4 linked regions of the Mus musculus genome follow. The protein of the gene in region 4 purifies or fractionates together with the protein of the main gene of each other region. This does not show direct contact. Links are inferred from orthologs where the notes say so. Each region holds a gene or a part of one and is shown on either strand. Other genes may lie near its edges. The genes, in order: Psmc1, Kpna6, Stat3 and Ptpn2.

Region 1 (6,403 bases), on a different chromosome or scaffold from region 4:
GCTCTGCATGTAGCATGGAGTACAAGGGGAGGCAGGGAGTACTGCGGAGACTGAATGAAGCTAGCTCTGGTTATATATAACCCCTTTCCACTTGCTAACTCCGGTGGAGCCCTCTTCTGGGTTGGCATAGAAGTTACATGAGTTTGTCTCATGCTAACCATGAGCCATGAGCCATGGTGCATGCCTGTAATCCCAGCACTCAATCCACTGAGTTCCAGCCAGCCAGGGCTGCACAGAGAGACCTTTCTTAAGAAAGGAAGAAAGAAAGAAAGAAAGAAAGAAAGAAAGAAAGAAAGAAAGAAAGAAAGAAAGAAAGAAAGAAAGAAAGAAAGAAAGAAAGAAGAGAGAGAGAGAGAGAGAGAGAAAGAAAGAAAGAGGGCTGGTGAGATGGCTCAGTGGGTAAGAGCACCCGACTGCTTTTCCGAAGGTCAGGAGTTCAAATCCCAGCAACCACATGGTGGCTCACAACCATCCGTAACAAGATCTGACTCCCTCTTCTGGAGTGTCTGAAGACAGCTACAGTGTACTTACATATAATAAATAAATAAATCTTTAAAAAAAAGAAAGAAAGAAAGAGAGAGAGAGAGAAAGAGAGAAAGAGGGGGAGGGGAGGGAGGGAGAAAGACATCCTATTCACACAGAGAGACCTTTCGAAAGAAAGAAAGAAAGAAAGAAAGAAAGAAAGAAAGAGAGGAAGAGAGAAAGAGGGGGAGGGAGGGAGGGAGAAAGACATCCTATTCACTGTCCCTAAGTAGTTAACCCCGCTGAGGTATTAACATGTAAGTCATTTATTGCTTTTTATTTTTGTCATTATTTTACGGCAGGCACACACATGCTTCGGTGTGCATGTACAGGTCAGAGGACAACTTTTGGGAGTTGGTTCTCTCCTGTCACTGTTCTGAGGATGGAACTTAGATCGAGGCTCGCACAGCGAGTCCCTTACTCTCAGAACCTCTATCCTGATGGCCCTGTTTGTTGTGAGGCAGGGTCTCGGTTTTGCGGTCCAGGCTTCCCTGGGTTAGTGATGCTTCTCTTGCACCAGCACCCCGAGTGCAGGGATTAATGCACCACAGTGGAAATAGCGTGTAAACTACTGATGCAGTCTCAGAGACACTTTCATGCTGTAAAGGGAAGTATCGCTGTATTAACATCTGGGTATGTCTGGACCGAAGTTTATTTTTTATTTTTATTTAAGAATTACTTTATGTATAGGAATGTTTTGCCTGCAAAGCGGGTGGTTTTGAGCAGCCATGTGGGTACTAAGAACTGAACTCAAGTCCTCTGGAAGAGCAGCTAGTGCTCATAACTGCTAAGCCATCTCTTCAGCCGCTTTATCACAGTTATTTCCTTTGTGTGTATGTGGGGTGGGGCCCATGCGCGCTCCTGCACTCAGATACAGTTGTGAGTATGTGGAGGTCAAAGCACAACTTGCAGGACTCAATTCTGTCCTTCCACCACCACGGGGAACCGAGGGATAGAACTCAGCTCTTGTTGGCAGCAAGCTCTTCAACCACTGAGCCATCCTGCCAACCCTGAACTTAAAGTTTTTTAATGGCTTTCTGGTGAACATATATAAATTTTTTTTTTTTTTAGTTTTTAAGTTCCAAATGTCTAAAGCCTTATTTTTTAATTACAGTAACACCTCACACCCAGTGCCGCCTGAAATTACTGAAGCTAGAGAGAATAAAAGACTATCTTCTCATGGAGGAGGAATTCATTAGAAACCAGGAACAGATGAAACCATTAGAAGAAAAGCAAGAGGTGAGTGGAGAAGGTTCTATAGTCTTCTTTACTGAGTGAGTTCTGTTAAGAACAAAAACTGTGATAAGTGAGAGTCATGGGTGTCAACTGTGACACTTCTGACTGGCCAGCTTTTAAAGCCAGGGAGAGGGCGCAGCAGGTAAAAGTACTGACTACACTCTGGCAACCAAGTATGGAAAGGTAAAAAATCCAGATGAGGTGCACATCTGTCATCCTGGCACCCTACAGCAAGACGAGAGTCAGAGACCTGACAACCACCCAGAAGTTCTCTGGATAGCCAGGAGTACACACACACAGCAAGTTATTCTCTGGTCTCTGCACGCTCAGATGCACATCCACAGAAAGTGAGTGAATGAGAAAAGAAAACATTTGCTGCCTTGTCATTCCAGGCAGATACTCTGTAAATGCATCATCTGCCTTACGGGCTCATCTGCTTTTTCTTCTTGGCTATTATTAGGAGGAAAGATCAAAAGTGGATGATCTCAGGGGGACCCCCATGTCTGTAGGAACCTTGGAAGAGATCATTGATGATAATCACGCCATTGTGTCCACATCTGTGGGCTCAGAACACTACGTCAGCATCCTGTCGTTTGTAGACAAGGATCTGCTGGAACCAGGCTGCTCCGTCCTGCTCAACCACAAGGTGAGCCACTGGCCTATAAGGAAGCCCGGTAGGAGTATGTTCTTGGTGTTAGACCTGGCTGCTCGGGCTGGAAGGGGACCACCAAAGCACTCACAGAAATGGGGGAAAGAAACTGGAATTGCTTGCCCTAGACAAATTGACAAGAACTCCCGGTCACACATTAAGACTTGGTCCTTTGTAGGTGCATGCTGTGATAGGGGTGCTAATGGATGACACGGATCCCCTGGTCACAGTGATGAAGGTGGAAAAGGCCCCCCAGGAGACCTACGCAGATATTGGGGGACTGGACAACCAGATCCAAGAAATTAAGGTATGGTGGGGACCGGGTCTGGGTTTCCAGAGTTTTGGTTTCTTATAGTTGTCCTGTTTGGATGCTTTGGAGTTGACTTCCATGTTTGTTTTTCTTTATTGAGCAATTCTAGCTATGGATCTTTATGTGCTCAGTACTTTGAGGAACTGGAACCACACTAAATTGTGTGCCGGTCCTGTAGTCTTTTCACACTTTGCATATTTAATGCTGACTCAGTAGTAGGTGGAAATGTGACCTTCCCCGCTGTGCTGACTTGTGCTGTTGCGTACTTACTCAGCACACATGTGTTAGGGCCTAGGCCAGGTTCCCTGTTCCTGAGTGATGGAGCCTGTGGCTGTGTGCCCACCCTGTCTCTCACCCATAGGGAAGTCAGAACTGCCAAAGGTCTCCTCTGCTGACCTCTCAGCTGGAACTCGGCACAGAGCGTAGAATCCCTAGTGACAGTAGGACCAGCTGGCAGGAAGCCTGTCCAGGTCCTCTTTCTAGTCTACTCCAAACAGAGCAAGTGTTAGCTTCCTTCAGTTTTATTTTGCTCCAGAGTAGCTTAAGTGTTGCTCAAGGCTGACTTCTGGAAAGGAAAGGGAAAGCTGGGCGTGGCTTAGGAAGGGAGTTGCTATGAAAACTCAGTGAGACACCTGCCCTCTTCAGCGTGTCCCACCCCAGTAGAGGTTCAGAACAGTGAGCTTTCTGTTTATCTGTGTGGAAAACAGCATATTTTCATATCAGGCAATGCTAACAACCCCAGTTAAACTTTCCTTTTCACCAAGGCTTTCTTCTCTGTAGGAGTCTGTGGAGCTCCCGCTTACCCATCCTGAGTATTACGAGGAGATGGGGATAAAGCCCCCTAAGGGGGTCATTCTCTACGGTCCGCCAGGAACAGGTACGCCGTGCTGAACATTGTAGGCACTCCACTCCTGTCTCCAGCAGCTTTGGCAAGATAGAAGGTGCCACAGTCGCTTAGCTCAACTCTGGAGCTGGGCTGGGGAGGGAGAGGTAGAACACACTGCTTAGCAGGCACACAGCCATGGGCTGGGTCCAGCAAACCCACACCATCCCCATACACACACAAAGCAAGATCTCAGCCTTGGCTGACCGAGTACAGTGACATCACCTTGAGAGCTCTATATAGTGCTGCGGCTTGTCCCAGCCTCAGAGGCACACATGCGCTCATCTGCAGCACGGCTAAGCCTCAGTCCAGTGTGGAGATGGCGTTCAGTTATTCTGAGGTGTTGGACCAGGTCCGTTTACTGTGCAGTAGTACTAAGTAAATACTGTGGGATGATGATAAGGACACATTTAACATTACAGTACAACGGTTGTCCTAAGCTGCAGAGGCCAGTGCTTGGCAGTTGATGACCCTGCAGATCAGAACAGGCGTGGTCATTTGCTTCAGAGAGCTGATGCTGAGTTCCTCCGACTTATTTTGAGAGCTATTAAGAGACTGAGAAGTAGCTTCCCTGAGGAACCTGGAGCTAGAAGCCACTCTGCTTTACCTCAGTGGAGATTAAAGCCTGGAGAGGCTGGTGATGAGCCCAGGGCCACAGAGCTCTTGGCGTTGAGCTGGTAATGCCTGGAGCTGCAGCACTGTCCTGCCCCACCAGTGTGCATCTCATGAGGTGTGGGCACTGCAGTGCCGGGTGGACGGGCCTGTCAGAGTGGGAGGCTTGTTCAGTGATTCCCTGTGGCACTTGAGGTAACCCAGCTGCTTTCCTTGGCTCCCAGACACTAAGGTCTCATTGTCCTAAAAGGCCCGACCCCGTCTTTACATCCCGAGTTGGTCTCCCAGGAATACTGTTACCTTCTGAGGCTTTCTACCTGCTGTTTGCTGCTGTGTCACAAAGCTTAGCCCTCTGCCATTCCCTAGCTCTCCCTCTGCATCCTGAGCTAACACCAGGCCCTCATTCACTTTTAAAGGGGCGAAGGTCTTAACAACTCTAAAATCCTTGAGCTGAGTACTCTTTGGTGACTGGCCTATGTTAAAGGCTGGTCTCTGGAGGTGGGACGGGCATCAGTGTTGTTCAGAGCTCCCAAGCTGAATTCACTGTACGTGGTTTGTGTGTGTGTGTGCGCGTGCACGCGTCCAAGAAAAATACCAGTGGTAGAGCAGTGTTAGAAACACTACTTGAAGGGCTGGAGAGATGGCTCAGTGGTTAAGAGCACTACCTGGTCTTCCAAAGGTCCTGAGTTCAAATCCCAGCAACCACATGGTGGCTCACAGCCATCTGTAATGGGATCTGTTGCCTTTTCTAATCTGGGTTGGATAAGTCAGATTAATTTTTGTATTTGTTCGTTCCTTCATTAGTTTTGATACAGGTCCTCATGAAGGCCACTCTGGCTTTGAAGTCACCGTCTAGCTCAGGATGCCCTTCAACTTCTAATCCTCCTACCTCCACTTTCCAAATGCTGGATTCTACATGTGTAGCCCCATGTCTGGTTGCATTAAGTTAATTTAATATGCAACTTAGAATGGACCCAAGAAAGCTCCCTTTCAGAAAAAACAGGTCATTGTATTGCTAGTGCAGAGTGGTTCTTTCTATAGGTAAATATGGCGACTGGTTCTCCTAATGCTGTGACCCTTTAATATAGGTGGACCCCTCATCATAAAGTTATTTTTATTGCTACTTCATAACTGTAGTTTTGCTACTGTTATGAATTGTCATGTAAGTATCTGGGATGCAGAATATCTGATATGCGACTCCCAGATGGGTCTCGACTGCTGCTTTGGATGATACTTTGGGCTCAGGGTGTGAAAATAACCAGGTAGGGCTCACAAAATGTCTCAGTGATAATGGTGTCCGTCACAAGCCTGGCAACCTGAGTTTGATCTTCAGACCCCAATGAAGGTGGAGGAAGGGAGGTGCTTCTGCCAGGTTGTCTTCTGTCCTCCACAGGTGCTCCGCGGCTCATGCCCCCATTAAATAGGCACAAAACAAATATATATTATGATTTTTATGAGAAAAAAATAGCCAGGTAAAGGTATTGCTGACATCATCATGATGACTTTTAGAAGAGCTCAGAGTATGTTGTTAGGTTGGGAGAGCAGAGGAGCAGATAGCTGCGGTGTGTTGTCATTGTTAGTGTCCATCCACTGGGATGGGGCGCTCCTAACAGCAGTTACATGGTTTTCTTCTTATCGTATTCTTTTTACCCAAAATAGGTAAAACTCTATTGGCCAAAGCAGTAGCGAACCAGACTTCAGCCACTTTCTTGCGAGTGGTTGGCTCAGAGCTTATCCAGAAGTACCTAGGTGACGGGCCCAAACTTGTCCGGGAGCTCTTCCGGGTCGCTGAGGAGCATGCGCCGTCCATCGTGTTCATTGATGAGATCGACGCCATTGGGACCAAAAGGTAGACTCACCCTGAACTGTCGTGGAGATAAACAGTATTGGCCCTCCCTGTGCAGCAAGCCCTTGCTGGGCATGGCCCTCTGGATACTTCACTCTGCCCTCCAAGGGGCCTTAAACACCTACCCAGGCAGTGTGTGGAACCCAGTTGTGTCCGAGCTTGCATGGAGCCAGTACCATGCAGACGCTGCAGACTCACTGTACTCATGGTAGTCTTTGCCCTGCAGCTAAAAGGTTGAACCAAACAGGGAGACAAAAAATGGGCCTTTAGGCAGAGTTGCTGTGCAGCGATGTGGTTCAAAAGTGTGTCTGTCTGTCTGTCCCGCTGAAAACGAAACAGCACAAT
Region 2 (5,547 bases), on a different chromosome or scaffold from region 4:
CTCTCTTTGAGTTTGTGGTCCTCTTGCTTTAGCCTCTCGGGGGCTGACAACATGTCTCAGCCTCCAGTTTGTATTTATGCCCCTTTATTCTGGTGTTCATCATCTGAACATTAGGAGGAACCACGCAAGTTGGATGCGTCTTTCCCCTTATTATAACCTACGAAAGGGAATAAAGTCTGTACATACTGATGTCTCAGGAGAAAGGAAGAGCTATTGACTTAAACATTAGAAAGAAAACATAAGATGAACATGATGGCGTGTGTACCACTGCAGTCTGAGAACAAAGTCAGCCAACCATGTAGTGAATCCCAAGCAAGCTAGGGCTACAAAGAGAAATCATGTTTAAAAGGGTGCCAGAGTAGGGAGGAGGAGTAAATACAGCATTATATGTAGGCCTTTTTAGATAAAAATATATAAAGGTCCAGGAGTCAGAAATCTGAAGATCTTTGAGCACAATTTAATAACCTCAGTATGGAATATTCTGAGTAGAGCTACAGAGGAAGGGTCCAGATGACAGACAGTCTGTACCTCCATACTGTACAAGTTGTACTCAGGACAAATAGGAACCTGAGGAACTTCTTAACGTGTGTAGGGTAATAACGTTGTAGCCAAGGGGACAATAGGACTCCGTGTTCATTAGGGAATAGGTCAGTGCAGAGTTAAGAAGGTGGCTTAGGTGGGCAACAGGAAGAGTGCCTTGTTGGGAAAATTGGTGTGTGAGGGAGACGCACAGGTCAAAGCACCTGGTGCACTTTATGTGTTCTGCATTCATGTAGCGCGCATGTCCTCTCTGGTCCCCAGGTACCTGGTATCACTGGGCTGCATTAAGCCCCTGTGTGACTTGCTGACTGTAATGGATTCAAAAATTGTGCAAGTGGCCCTCAATGGACTAGAGAACATTCTTCGGCTTGGAGAGCAAGAAAGCAAGCGTAGTGGCTCAGGGGTCAATCCCTACTGTGGCCTCATCGAGGAAGCCTATGGTAGGTCCTCTCCCTGACCTCACCTATGTCTGTTAATGGGGAAGATGTTGGAGCACATTCAATTGTTCTGTGAAACTTGGGAATACATTTATCCATTCATTTGTGTGCATATGCATGTATGAGTGTGGGTGTACATGATATGGCACATGTGGGATGAAGGTCAGAGGACAACCTGAAGAAGTCAGTTCTCTCCCTTCACCATGTTGGTTCCTAGGATTGAACCCAGGTTGTCAGACTTGGCAGAAATCACCTTAACCTGCTGAGTCATCTCACCAGCCCTTGAGTCTCTGCTTCTAAAACCAGTGATGAGTTCCTGTTGCAGCCAAGCTAGTCCAAGCACAGGGTTTCAGACTTTCCCTTGGGAGTAGCTGACTCGTACTGACCAGCTGGGTAGATAGAAGTAATGGTTATTATCACTATCAAGTTTCCCTGTCCCACCATCTCCTCCTCCCTCTGAGGAGCCATAGGTCAGTGCTGTTCTCATAGACACCACCTACCTCAAATGTATGCAAGGAGGAACAGGGTAAAATTTGGTTCTACTACCAGGAGCTAGAAGCTGCATTCCAACAGTCTCTCCTGGAAAACCCTGATTGCCTTAACCAACCCATCTCAGATGATTAGCTCAGATGTTAATTAGATGTTAACTAGCTCACCATGATTAGCTCAGAGTTAGCTTGCAACAGAATTTGGTCTCAACCCTCTAGTCAATCACATTGTATATGTGTGTGCAGACCAGAGGTCAGTCTGAGCTATCACTCCTCAGAGTAATCTAGGTTAACAAGCCAACCAGAAAACAAACCCCAGCTGGTTTGTCCCGACTGTATCCTCTTCCCACAACCCCTGCTAGGGTTACAGGCCCCGGCCACCATTCCTGGCCTTGCATCCTGGGGAGTGAACTCAGGTTTTCAGGGCAAGCACTTTACACAAGCCAGGGGTGGATATGTTCCCACTGCTTTTGGTTGGGAACTTGTACTTCAGGAAAGGAGAGGTACAGACCTGTTTTCTTCTTACACCGTAGGCTTGGATAAAATTGAGTTTCTCCAGAGCCACGAGAACCAGGAAATCTACCAGAAGGCCTTTGACCTCATTGAGCACTACTTTGGTGTAGAGGATGACGACAGCAGCCTGGCTCCTCAGGTGGATGAGACGCAACAGCAGTTCATCTTCCAGCAGCCTGAGGCCCCCATGGAGGGCTTCCAGCTATAATGTCTGCCTCCGGGGAGGGGAGGGCACGGGAAGCACCAGCAGCCAGCAGAGAGAGGAGCAGCCTTCTGGTGGGCAGGAGAGCAGCCACCCCACCAGCAGCCCCGCACACCTGCTGCCCCGAGACTGTGCTCTCGACCTGTTCATCCCCTTCCCTGGAGGGAGCAAGCGCCCTCTGGACAGACAGAACCATCTGAGGCTCACATTGGGTTTTGAGACAAGAAGGGGACGTGTGGGTTTCTCTTCCTTACACTATTTTGGCTGCACATGTCTTTAACCCAGGAGCCCAGGGGTAGACAAAGGAGGACTGAGGTAATCAATTTGCACCTTTAAAATTTTTTTCTTTTATTTTCTTTAGTGGTGACTTCCTTCCCAATTATCTTTCTTCATCCATCCCAGTCCTCTGCCCTGACGTGTGTAACTCTTGGGTACTTGAGCAGATGGAATATTCCAGAGGTGGGAGGTGGGAGGGGAGGGGAGAAGTCCCAAACAAAGTGTTCTTGCTCTGACCCATATTAATCTTGTATGCTTGGATTATTTAATTTTTTCTTTTGCACATTTTTCTTGTATTAAGGTTGTTCTTCCCAAAAAGCTGGATTTAGTAACCCAGCCACCAGCATCGTCTGGAAATAGAGGCTAATGGGGAGGCCCCCATGAGACAAAGATCCCTCCCTCCCTCTAACCCTATGCCTAAGACCTCTTTAGTTTGGGAGGATCCCCCTCACTCTCCTGGAGCAAGTATACCAGTGGAGTGGAAGGGAGGGGCACAGGCCTTTAGACAGGGCTTCTCCTGTGTAGCTACTGACCCTGTTTCCTACCCACCTCCTAAATGGTGCGACCCAACTTCATTTGTTTACTTGAAAATTCACCTCAGAGTTGAATGAACCTCTGAGGTGGCTGTGTTTTCTCCTGAGCTTGAGATGGGGGGCTGTGGTCCTTCCTTCTCCTGAGGAGAAAGTCCTTGCTCTGATGACCCCTAAGTTGCAGAGGAGGTTGGAGTTAGTGTCGTGTATCGGGATAGTCATGAATCCCTGCCTTTGGCCTTTCTTCTTCCTTCTGCCATAGCTGGATCATGTATATTTCACTTCCAAAGGAGAGAATGGCAAAAAGTTCTGTTGTTTTTTTAATAGTCTGTATTTTAAGTAGGTCAGTCTTAATTGGTTTTAGGAGGACAAACTGGATGTGAGTGGGATACTGTGAGGAAGACCAGAAAGACGAACAAGTTTCTGCTCACAGGGCTGAACTCAGTCCTTATTTTCTCTGCTTGTATTCTGGGCCACCACTTGGGACCAACTCTCACTTCTGGAACCTTTATGAAGTAAATCAGCTGGGTCTGATTGTTCCCAGCCTGAAGGGAGCAAGGCCTGATGGAGTCTGCTGCTCTCTCTGTTCCTTGCTCCCAAGCAAAAAGCATCCTGCCTTCTCTAACTCACTGTTACCCACAATGAACCCTGTTGGCATCTCCCTTCTAAAGATCCTTGTACCTAGCTTGCATTTCCCTTTCTCCCTCTTTCCCCCTCCCACCTCTCTCCCCCCTCCTCCTCTCTTCCCTCCCTCTCTCTCCCCCTCCCTCTCTCCCTCCCTCCTTCTTGAATAAAGACAGTTCAGTACCTCAGAGGCTGACCTGTTTTCAGGGGTTACACAGTACACTAAAACCAAGCTCTGGGAGCTGGGTACAGTGTCAGCTGGGCAGACCACCTGTGGAGGTGGCAGCACAGTGCCCTGCTGTGGTGATCCCCCACACCCTTAGCCGCTCTCTAGAACAGCACTGTTCCTCCTGTTCCAGCAGATCTCTCTGTGCCCCACATTTGCAGATCTGAAGTTGAGGTTCTTGCTGCTGGCCTCTGCCTTTCCGTCTGCCGTCTCTCCTTTAGTTTTGAGTTCCTGCTCCAGATTCCTCTTCAGGGCAGGCAGTTAATACTGAAAAGTTCAACCAACATTGGACCACGCTGGCGAGTGCCTTCCGGGAAGGCAAGGTGCTGGCCCTTTTGTTTTTAACCTGACTGAAACTGCTCCTAGTTCAAAGAAAAGTCCTCTATGAAGCCATCATCGTCCTTATCTGAAGAGTAGACCCCTGAACCTCTCAAGTGACAGTTAGGACCCTGGCCCTGGAGCCAGATCCTCAGCATGAGACACAAATGTCCTGCTTTCCTCTGCCCGTTTTCCATTATCTCTGGCTTCAGAGCAGATCCTGTGCCACATGGAAGAGGTTGGTTATCTATCTAGCTGCTCTACTCTAGGTGTCCCTCACAGTCGGCTCCTGGCCGACTGACTTCAGTTTCCAGCCCTCCCCAGTGATCATGGCCCTGGATGTTGGTTGTAGCCTTTTGGTATTACTGTATGAGTTCCAGCTTGCTTGGTACCGTTGTTACCTGGGTCTGTGCACACAAGTGCTTCCGAGGAGCAGGTATTGGTAGCCTGGTTTGGAAGACCTTTTGGTGTCCCCTTTACCCGGGACCTTGTATCTACCACTTCCCCTTTCTGCTGCCCCTGGGAGTCATCCCCAGTAGCCTATGTTCTGAAGCTAACTGTGGGCTAGAGCTGCAGTGGGATTTTAGCTGAGGGAGAGGAAAAGACGGTGCTTCTGCGTGGAGTTTCTTTCTTTGAAACCAAGCCGGTACAAAGACACACTTCCCACACAGAGGAAGTGTGTTTCTGTCTGCCTGCAGAGCTAGCAGCTCACAGTTCTACACGTCCTGGAGGCCTCTGCACTCTTTATTCAGACCCCAGCTCTTCTCTTCCAGGCTCACTCATTTTGGTATCCATCCTCTTGGGTATTTTTCAGGCTTAGATTCTAACTTCTCAAAGGAAAAAAACCCAAACTTCTCCAGGTCCCTGCAGATCCAGGACGGAGACAGGATAGTTAGTGACAAGCTTCCCTAGCAGGCTGGGGAAGTGTGCAAGGCTAGGTGCACTGAACTATAGATTCTGAGCAGTGGCAGCTTCAAGCCGCACTTCCCTGAGAGGTGGTAAGAGACAGGCTTCCTGGCACATTCTAGACCAGTTTTGTCCAGTATATTTTTTTTTTGTTTTATCTTTTGTATTCTTTTGTTAAGCCAACAAACTGAGAATTTGCCCCTGTAAGGATCCATGTGGTAGATACTAGCTGCTCTTTGGCCAAAGGCCTTCATAGCTGACTCAATCTCCCAGTCTATCCCCTAGTCCCACCCCAGGATGCACAGCAAGGGAAGAAGCTAAGGTCAACGCCAACAAATCTGAGTGAAAACTTGTTTTCCTTCTGAGAGAGCATCTTGTCTGAAGCCTGAACTATGTGCAGGACCAAAGCTGGCTGTGAGAAAAGCAGCCAGAAACCGGGGCGCCCTATTACCAGAGGGGAGTGCTCTTGTGACCGTGTCTTCAAGGG
Region 3 (6,403 bases), on a different chromosome or scaffold from region 4:
GCCCCATCATTTTACCTATGACCCCTTAAGGCATTAGCCTCTCCGGGCTGGGCAGAAGCCTTGGAAGCACAATTTTAAAAGTCCTTGGGAAATGTTTTTTCATGGAAATATGTTACACTTTGTTGTCATCAGTTCTTAATTTATTTATTAATATTCTCTGAGCACTGGGATCAAGCCTGGGCTTCACTCATTTAGGCAGGATCTCCAGTACTGAGCTGTACCCCAGCTCTTTCTAGATTTTTTTTTTTTTTTTTGACAGTTTACCTTTAGGCTGCTTGAAGGATGAGGCATCTTAGTTCAACATGTGGGCTCCTGGTTTAATGTGGAGAATGGGTTTGCAGTGTTTCCTGTTGATAAAAAGCCAGTGGCACAGAGAGAACAGTGCAAGCACCCTCCCAGCACCCTCCCCTTTGGATGGGATGGAGCTCAGACGAGAGGGTTCCACAAATCCATGTGTGTGCTAATCTTAGTTATTTATTATTTATTTATTTATTGGCAGCAAGGGGGCCAGGCCAACCACCCAACAGCCGCCGTAGTGACAGAGAAGCAGCAGATGTTGGAGCAGCATCTTCAGGATGTCCGGAAGCGAGTGCAGGTAATCGGGCCTCACCCAGGGAGCCGCGCTGTGCTGTGCGGCTGCAGAGTGTGGTCCTGCGTGCACGCTTTCATTATCTTCAAAACTTTCTTTTCCCTTTTTCCCAAAGGTAACCTGTGTTTTACTTCTGTTTTTGGTTGGTTTGTTTGTTTAAACAGGATCTAGAACAGAAAATGAAGGTGGTGGAGAACCTCCAGGACGACTTTGATTTCAACTACAAAACCCTCAAGAGCCAAGGAGGCAAGCGAGCTGTGGGGACGGGGCAGTCTGTGCAAGGCTACGCCGTGTCACTGAGTCTCAGGGCCTGCCTTCCATGGTAGGAGGAGGAGCTGCTGGCCCTTCACGGGACAATTTTTGCATTGTTTGTTTTTGAGATGGGATTTGACCATGTAGCTCTGGCTGACCGTGAGCCTACAACCATCTTACTTCAGCTCTCTGAGTAGCCGGGACTGCAGGCGCACAGATGGTGTAGAGCCTTGTTAAGAAGGCTGTGGTGAGTCCCTCTGCTCAAGGAGTCTTTCCTCCTTCCCTTAGACATGCAGGATCTGAATGGAAACAACCAGTCTGTGACCAGACAGAAGATGCAGCAGCTGGAACAGATGCTCACAGCCCTGGACCAGATGCGGAGAGTAAGCGATCTGGATGCTTCCTGAGCATCGCACGCCTAGCGTGGAAGACAGTTTCTGATGGCTTCTTTCTCTAGAACTGACTAGAGACTGCGGTTAGACATGGGCTGGGGTAATGTGTTCTGACTTGGTTTTGGTTTCCAAACAGAGCATTGTGAGTGAGCTGGCGGGGCTCTTGTCAGCAATGGAGTACGTGCAGAAGACACTGACTGATGAAGAGCTGGCTGACTGGAAGAGGCGGCAGCAGATCGCGTGCATCGGAGGCCCTCCCAACATCTGCCTGGACCGTCTGGAAAACTGGTAAGAGTTGGAAGAAAGGCTTCTTTTTCTTTAGTCACGGGCCTGCAAGGGGGGGGGGGGGGGGCGGGGCGGAGCGGGGCGGAGGCGGGGCATGCTGCTCCCTCGCCATGCTTTTGCTTTTGCTTTTGCTTTTGCTTTTTCATGCTGGGGTGGATGTGTGGTAGACAAGTGTGCCAGAGCCACTGGACTACACTCCTAGTGCTGGACACTATTGCTAAGATGGCACCTTTTTTTTTCTTTGAGAAAGAATCTCACTGAGCTGCATAGGCTGGCCCTCATACCCACTCCATAGCCCAGGCTGGCCCTCATACCCACTCCATAGCCCAGGCTGGCCCTCATACCTACTCTATAGCCCAGGCTGACCTTGAATTTGCAATCCTCCTGCTTCATCTTCCCAAATGGAATTATCTGGGATTATAGGCATGCATCACTCTGCCTGCCTTAAGGTGGCCTTTTTTACACAGTCAAGTTTAGTCCAAGAATTAAAACCATTACCTAATTTTAACTTTTTTGTTTTTTTCTGAGACAGAGTTTCTCTATTTAGCCTTAGCTGTCCTTGAACTTGCTCTGTAGACTACACTGGCTCAAACTCATAGAGGTCTGCCTGCCTCTGCTTCCCAAGTACTGAGATTAAAGACATGCACCACCATTGCCCAACCAACAAATTTTTAATTAAAAAGAATAAATTAATAAAGCTTAGATCACTAATTTAAGATATTTAAATAATACTTTCAGTTGTATTTAACACTAAATTCTCCATTTTAGTTATTTTAATAATCTAAAACAATATATGTTATTTGCAAAGGGGGGAAATAACTGAATATATATAAAACTAATAAAATGAAATAAAAAAAATGAAAATCTAGTCTTTGAGTAGTACCAGCAAGTCACCAGACTTTGTGATAGTCATTTTGTAGGCATCTGTCGTGATTAAACATGTGATTTCATGACTATACATGTGATGTCATAACTATACATGTGAAGCTAGAAATCGAGTTGTCCGTCTCCTTCCTCCCTTCCTTCCTTCCTTCCTTCCTTTGTTGTGGTGGGATGGATGCCTCAGGGTCCCTTTGCTTCAGTCTCCTGAGTGCTGGGGTCACCACTAGGGGACAGAGGTGACTGGAACTTCCTTCCATTATGGCAGGATAACTTCATTAGCAGAATCTCAACTTCAGACCCGCCAACAAATTAAGAAACTGGAGGAGCTGCAGCAGAAAGTGTCCTACAAGGGCGACCCTATCGTGCAGCACCGGCCCATGCTGGAGGAGAGGATCGTGGAGCTGTTCAGAAACTTAATGAAGAGGTAACTTGTAAGAGATGACGTTCCGAAGGGAGGAACCGGCAGAAGACTGGTCACCACAGCGTCTGAGATGCCATCCTTTTCCCTTCCAGTGCCTTCGTGGTGGAGCGGCAGCCCTGCATGCCCATGCACCCGGACCGGCCCTTAGTCATCAAGACTGGTGTCCAGTTTACCACGAAAGTCAGGTGGGCCTGTCCTTACACTTTGGGTGGAGTTTTGATTGATGTCCAGTCCTCTTCCCTGAGGATTTTAAGGGAAGGAAGGTTCTGTGGTGCCATAGCTGAGGGGCCCCATTGGGTGAGAGATGAAGCCCACTCCTCACCTGGCTCAGAACACGTGCAGTATTTCTCATTGAATGCTTTTTATTGCCTTCCCGTGAGAAGTCTCTTACAACTTGCTTCACATGCTTAGGCATCTCAGTACTTTCTAGCTGAAGGGTTAGTGTTCACTTTTAATGTCAGAGATGACTCTGCGGAAGTAGAATTTGGGTTTGTAAAAATAATATATATATATATATATATATATATGCGTGCGTGCGTGTGTGTGTGTGTGTGTGTGTGTGTGTGTGTGTATTTTTCATCTAGACAGGTCTTTGTAGCCCTGGCTGGCCTGGAACACTCTCTGTAAACTAGGCTGGCTTGAACCCAGAGATTCACCTCCCTTTGCCTCCCAAGTGCTGGGATTAAAGGCATGCACCACCATGCTCAGCAATATTTTTACATCTTAGGAATTGAAGTATTAGGGGGTTTATATTTTAACGAGATCAAGGTAGGGAGCCTACTAACTTTCCTTGACTATATTTTTTAATAGGTTGCTGGTCAAATTTCCTGAGTTGAATTATCAGCTTAAAATTAAAGTGTGCATTGATAAGTAAGTATTCTTTATGTGTGTGTGTGTGTAAGTGTATAATTTTTATTATTTAAAAGCAACTGTTAAATTCATGCTTTGCTCATATTCTTCCCTTCTCCCAAGTACATTCAGATCTCCTCCTCCTGTACTCACCCAAGTTTCTCAAAAAAACTAAACAACCAAAACCCCAATACAACAAAATCCCCAAAAGACTGAGAACAAAATACAACACCCAAAAAGAAAAAAGATGGGACTAAAATTGTGATTAAATAAGAGCATGCACAACAAACTATTTGTTGGTCAACTGTCCTGCTCACGAGACCCGCACTGAGTGGTTGACAAAGCCAGTGCTGCTCCCAGCAGCTCCATTGCTAATCTTTCACCCTAGTGGTGGGTTTACATTCATTCATTCATTCATTCATTTTTTTTAATGTAACAAAATAAAATATAACAAAGCAAAACAAAGGCTATGACATCCAAGTTGGACGAGACAAACCAACAGGAGGAAAAGAACCCAAGAGAAGGCACAGGAGTCGGAGTCCCACTCGTTTGCACCCTGGGAATCCCATGAGAACACTACATGGGAAGCCACAATATTAGCACAGAGGCCCTGGTGCAGGCCCCTGCAGGCCCAGGGCATGCTGCTCCAGTCTCTGCGAGTTCATATGAGCTTTGCTCGTGGTGATTCAGAGGGCCTTGTGGTTTTGGTGACCTCTAACCCCTCTGGTTCTTAATGTTTTTTCTGCTGCTTCTTCCTTGGTATTCCCTGAGCTCTGAGGGGAGGGATTTGCTGGAGACATCCCATTTAGGGAATGAGTGTTTCAAGGTCTTTCTCTGCATGATGTCTGGCTGTGGGTCTCTATATTTCTTCCCATCTTTGGACAGGAGGACTCTTCTCTGATGATGGCTGAGCAAGGCACTGATATCTGAGTCTAGCAGAATGTCACCTGGAGTCATTTTATTGTTTTTTTTTCCTTTCTCTTTTTTAGATCAGTATTATTTAGTTTTTCCCTAGGTCCTTGGGCTATCTAGTCTCTGGTTCTTGGCCACCCAAGCCTTGTTGGGTATGAGTTTCATCTTGTATAGTGAGCCTTAAGACTCTTGTTGGTTGGTTACTTCCACAGGTTTGTGCCACCATTGCCCTAGCATATCCTGCAGGCAGTACACTATTACAGATAGAGGTTTGAGGCTGGCTTGCTGTTCACACTTCTCTTTTGATAGCATGCAGAGTACCTTCCTATAACAAAGACTCTGGCATACAGTGGGGGGCTCTATGGAGGCACCAGCTTCACGTGCCCATGTTCAGTGAGTTGTGTAGGTGTTATCCTCAACAGTGGGGCCTTGCTGTCAGTTGTGGAAAGCAACCGATGGTCTTGATAACAGCGTGGATTGTTTGAGGATTCCCTTTGGCCAACAATTCAATTAGACTTAACCCTAACCCAGTACTGGAAGCTTTATTTGGTGGCAAGAGATCGCCAGTTGGGACCCCAACTCTCCCCCATTACTTGGCGATTGAATCTAGATCACCTTCACATATGTGAATGTTTTAGGAGGTTCCTACTGTACGAGATGTCGATACTACTCCACGGATGCTCCATAAGTGTTGCCGTCTCCCATTGTTCCCTCCCACCACCAGCTCTCCTCTCCCCTCGGCTTCCCCATTTGCTCCTCCAAGTTCAGACCTCGTCTATCCAGAATCCCTCATCTATCCAGAATCCCTCATCTATCCAGAATCCCTCATCTATCCAGAACCCCTTCTATTTCTTTTTTCCTAATTAGATCTATTTGTTCTCTGTAGTTCCTTAGTCTGTATTCACCCTCTGTGGTTCTTAAGGATTGCAGCTTGGTTATCATTGACTTAATGGCTAATATCCATACATAAGTGAGTACACACCACATTTGTCTTTCTGGGTCTAGGTTACCTCACTCAGGAAGATTTTTTTTTTCCTAGTTCCATCTATTTGCCTGCAAGTTTCTTTTTTTTTTTTTTAATGGCTGAGTAATACTCCGTATGTAAATGTACCACATTTTCTTTATTCATTCTTCTGTTGAGGGACATCTAGGTTGTTTCCAGCTTCTGGTTAGTATGGAGAGAACAGCAGTGAACGTGGTTGAGCAAGTGTCTGTGGTAGGATGAAGCATCCTTTGGGTATGTGCCCAAGAGTGGTCTAACTGGATCTTGAGGTAGATGGATTCCCGTCTTCCTGAGGAGCGGCCATACTGATTTCCATAGTTGCTGCATGAGCTTGCATTCCCACCAGCAATATGTGATGGTGGCCCTTACTCCACATCCTCGACAGCATGAGCTGTCACTTGTGTTGATCTTAACTATCCTGTTAGGCATATGATAGACTCTCACAGCAGTTTGATTTGCATTCCCTGATCCTAAGGATGTTGGACATTTCTCTGTTTCTCAGCCACTTGGGTTTCCTCTATTAAGAATTTTCTGTTTAGATCTGTACCCCATTTCTAACTGGTCTGTATTTTCTTGATATTTATTTTCTTAAAATTCTTTTCGGGCATTTGTCCTCTATTGGATATGTAGTTGGTTTAAAAGAAAAATCCCGTTCTGTAGGCTACCAATCCGTATTCTTAAGCCTAACTCTTGTTTTCAAATGAGGGATGGAGAAGCAAGAACTTGGACAGACATTTGACTTTAGAGATGTCTCCATTCAGGGATCTTCTTTTTGTGAACAGCTGTGTTCAAAACCCTTGCAAACCCTGCCCGGTTTG
Region 4 (3,500 bases):
ATGATATTTTCTGTCCTGGTTAACGTCAGCTAACAACTTGACACAGCCCAGAGTCATCTGAGAGGAGTGCCTCAATTAAAGAAAGACTTTTTAAGATCAGATTGGTGTTATTTGTAGGGAACTAATTGATACAGGACAGCCCAGCCCACTGTGAGATTATCTGTAGAGAGAATGTCTTGTATATTTTATGGATACACCACCCATCAATTAAAAAGCCTATGGCTTAGGCAGGAAGTAGGAGGTGGGACATCGGGGAGGCAGAAAGAGTTCTGGGATAGAGCCAGGCACGGGAGGATTTGCCCAGGAAGATGTGAAGAGATGGATGTGGGGTACCTGAACACAGGTAACCAGCCGCGTGTCAGAATGTAAATTAAAATAAATGGGTTATGGGCTGGAGAGGTGGCTCAGCGGGTAAGAGCACTGACTGCTCTTTCGAAGGTCCTGAGTTTAAATCCCAGAAACCACATGGTGGCTCACAACCAGCCATAATGAGATCTGATGCCCTCTTCTGGTGTATCTGAAGACAGCTACTTTATTGTTATTATTATTGTTGTTGTTGTTGTTATTAGATATAATAAAAAATAAATCTTTGGGACGGAGCGAGCAGAGGTTCTGAATTCAATTCCCAGCAACCACATGATGTTTCATAACCATCTGTACAGCTACAGTGTGCTCACATACATTAAATAAATAATTTTTTTTTTTTTTTTTTTTTTTTTTTTGGTTTTTCGAGACAGAGTTTCTCTGTGTAGCCCTGGCTATCCTGGAACTCACTTTGTAGACCAGGCTGGCCTTGAACTCAGAAATCTGCCTGCCTCTGCCCCCTAAGTGCTGGGATTAAAGGCATGTGCCACCATGCCTGGCAATAAATAAATCTTTAAAAAAATAAATAAATTATTATGCTTAAACAAACCCTAATGGGCTACTTTAACATTTTGCCTAGACAAGTTATAGTTTCAATCAAAACTTGAATTGTTAGAGCTGAGAGGTGGCTCAGTGATGAAGGACAGTTGCTGCTCTTTAGAAAACTAATGTTCGGTTCTAGCACCCACAGTGGGTGACTCACAGCCCTCTCCAGCTCCAGGGATCACATGCTGTCTTCTGGCCGCTGTGTGCATCTCTACACACTTGGCATGCACACATACACATGCACTCACAAATCTTTAAAAAACAAAAAACTCATTTACTAATAAAATTAACCTTTTGCTTAAAGGCAGTAGATTCTGTTAATGATCAATATTAAAACTGGGTTATGAGAACCGGCGGTCTTTGGCAGAGTGTTTGCCTAGCATTTAAGGGTTCATGAGTTTCAAACTGCATTGGATGTTCATACCTGCTCTCTACCAACTGTGCCTTGCTCATCCTTCCTTCTCTTCAGTTTATGGTTTGTTTCTAAAACCAGATCAGTAGTCCAGAGCTCAGAGGTAATTTTGTAGGTCAAGGCTTTCCTATTTCCTGCCATCTTTTAAGTGTCTGCTGTACATCCACAAAGCATGTCTTTGTCCAGATTTGAGATGGGGAAGGGCACTGAGCAGCAAACTTTATCTCTGACAAAACCATTTTTTAAAACTATATAAATAATCCTAATCATATCTGGGTGTCTGTGTGCATATTTCTCACCCCCCCCCCCATGTGTGTGTGTTAAATTATCCTTCTTTTAAGAAGGAACCTGTTCACAGCTAAGGTCTGAGCAGTGAGTGGCCTTATATTGCTTTTTTTTTTTTTCAACTCAAACAACTTGGTTTTACCTTTCTTGCAGATGGAAAAAGGAGAGGATGTTAATGTGAAACAATTATTACTGAATATGAGAAAGTATCGAATGGGACTTATTCAGACACCGGACCAACTCAGATTCTCCTACATGGCCATAATAGAAGGAGCAAAGTACACAAAAGGAGATTCAAATATACAGGTAAACTCAGTATCATTAGTGTCAAATAACCATGTTCCATCTAAATCCTCAGCCTTCCCCTACTTCATTTGGTAGATCCAGCTGACTGTCTAGAATTCATAAAACTTTCCACAGTTCAAGAGGCAAAGATGAAAGCTAGTCACCAAGAGTTCAAGACCAGCCTGGTCTATACAGTGAGATCCTGACTTAATTTTTTTTTTTCTTCAAGATTTATTTATTATTATATCTAAGTACACTGTAGTTGTCTTCAGATGCACCAGAAGAGGGCGTCAGATCTCATTACTAATGGTTGTGAGCCACCATGTGGTTGCTGGGATTTGAACTCAGGACCTTTGGAAGAGCAGTCGGTGCTCTTAACCACTGAGCCATCTCTCCAGCCCCCAATTTTTTTTTTTATATGTATATAAGACACATATATACATATATACTTGTTTCCTCAGTGGAAACAAGATTCAATTAAAATAATTTTTTTCATATGAGAAGATTTCAGCATTTAATTATTGAAAGAAAAAAAAACCCAGAAAACATAAGTACTTTTATCTTAGTAAAAACTTACTGTAGAGGCCTGAGGAGATGGCTAAGTGGTCACAGGTTACAAGCACTTACTGCTCTTCCAGAGCACCCAAGTGTGTTTTTAAGAACTCATGTCGGGCAGCTCCAGGGGATCCAGCATCTCTGGCCTCTCATGGCACTTACAGTCATATGCACATACCTAAATGCACACACACAGAACTAAAAATGAAGGAAATAGCCGGGTGTGGTGGTGCACGCCTTTAATCCCAGCACTTGGGAGGCAGAGGCAGGCGGATTTCTGAGTTCGAGGCCAGCCTGGTCTACAAAGTGAGTTCCAGGACAACCAAGGCTATACAGAGAAACCCTGTCTCGGGGGGGAAAAAAAAGGTGGAAATAAAAATTTTAAACCCTTCATGTGGGAGTAAAGACTATTTCTATATAGGTACTTTATAGCTGAATAACTTCAGTTCTTACTACAGACATAAAGTGCTAGGAGTAAACTTTACAAACTTTACATGTCTGATGGTGACATTCTCAGGTGGTGTCTTTTTTTTTTTTTTGGTTTTTTGAGACAGGGTTTCTCTGTGTAGCCCTGGCTGACCTGGAACTCACTCTGTAGACCAGGCTGGCCTGAACTCAGAAATTCACCTGCCTCTGCCTCCCCAGTGCTGGGATTAAAGGCGTGCGCCACCACACCCAGCTCTCAGGTGGTTTTTATTGTATATTTATAGACCGTAAGCTCAAAGAGTATCAGAACTTAGTTTCATGTGATAAGGAAAAGTGTAAGGTAGAAAGAGAAATAACAGTATATCCTTCCCTGCATCGTCTGCATAATAAAGACATACCTAGATCGAAACCAACAATCTTAATCCACTACTCTTTGACTATCTATTTATAAATATCTGCTTTAAAATAGAATATATCTTTTAGGGGGCTAGAGAGATGGCTCAGCAGTTAAGAGCATTGACTGCTCTTCCTAAGGTCTTGAGTTCAAATCACAGTAATCACATTGTGGCTCACAACCATCCGTAATGAGATCTGATGGCCTCTTCTGATGTGTCTGAGGACAGCTACA

What was found.
Region 1: the proteins of Ptpn2 (region 4) and Psmc1 purify together in Homo sapiens (affinity purification with mass spectrometry; 4 studies listed by BioGRID and IntAct, with this or other methods). This does not show direct contact. The link is inferred for Mus musculus from reciprocal best matches to the Homo sapiens genes PTPN2 and PSMC1.
Region 2: the proteins of Ptpn2 (region 4) and Kpna6 purify together in Homo sapiens (affinity purification with mass spectrometry; 3 studies listed by BioGRID and IntAct, with this or other methods). This does not show direct contact. The link is inferred for Mus musculus from reciprocal best matches to the Homo sapiens genes PTPN2 and KPNA6.
Region 3: the proteins of Ptpn2 (region 4) and Stat3 purify together in Homo sapiens (affinity purification with western blotting; 7 studies listed by BioGRID). This does not show direct contact. The link is inferred for Mus musculus from reciprocal best matches to the Homo sapiens genes PTPN2 and STAT3.

Annotation. Positions count from the first base shown.
Region 1 is NC_000078.6:100,113,202-100,119,604, forward strand, and holds part of Psmc1 (26S proteasome regulatory subunit 4), read left to right. Parts: intron 1-1,636; coding exon 1,637-1,761; intron 1,762-2,218; coding exon 2,219-2,404; intron 2,405-2,585; coding exon 2,586-2,714; intron 2,715-3,497; coding exon 3,498-3,594; intron 3,595-5,871; coding exon 5,872-6,061; intron 6,062-6,403.
Region 2 is NC_000070.6:129,644,631-129,650,177, reverse strand, and holds part of Kpna6 (importin subunit alpha-7), read left to right. Parts: intron 1-801; coding exon 802-980; intron 981-1,998; coding exon 1,999-2,186; 3' UTR 2,187-5,547. UniProt on the Homo sapiens protein: Functions in nuclear protein import as an adapter protein for nuclear receptor KPNB1. Binds specifically and directly to substrates containing either a simple or bipartite NLS motif.
Region 3 is NC_000077.6:100,900,025-100,906,427, reverse strand, and holds part of Stat3 (signal transducer and activator of transcription 3), read left to right. Parts: intron 1-499; coding exon 500-595; intron 596-753; coding exon 754-835; intron 836-1,129; coding exon 1,130-1,224; intron 1,225-1,369; coding exon 1,370-1,521; intron 1,522-2,665; coding exon 2,666-2,824; intron 2,825-2,913; coding exon 2,914-3,006; intron 3,007-3,631; coding exon 3,632-3,691; intron 3,692-6,403. UniProt on the Homo sapiens protein: Signal transducer and transcription activator that mediates cellular responses to interleukins, KITLG/SCF, LEP and other growth factors. Once activated, recruits coactivators, such as NCOA1 or MED1, to the promoter region of the target gene.
Region 4 is NC_000084.6:67,676,122-67,679,621, reverse strand, and holds part of Ptpn2 (tyrosine-protein phosphatase non-receptor type 2), read left to right. Parts: intron 1-1,759; coding exon 1,760-1,912; intron 1,913-3,500. UniProt on the Homo sapiens protein: Non-receptor type tyrosine-specific phosphatase that dephosphorylates receptor protein tyrosine kinases including INSR, EGFR, CSF1R, PDGFR.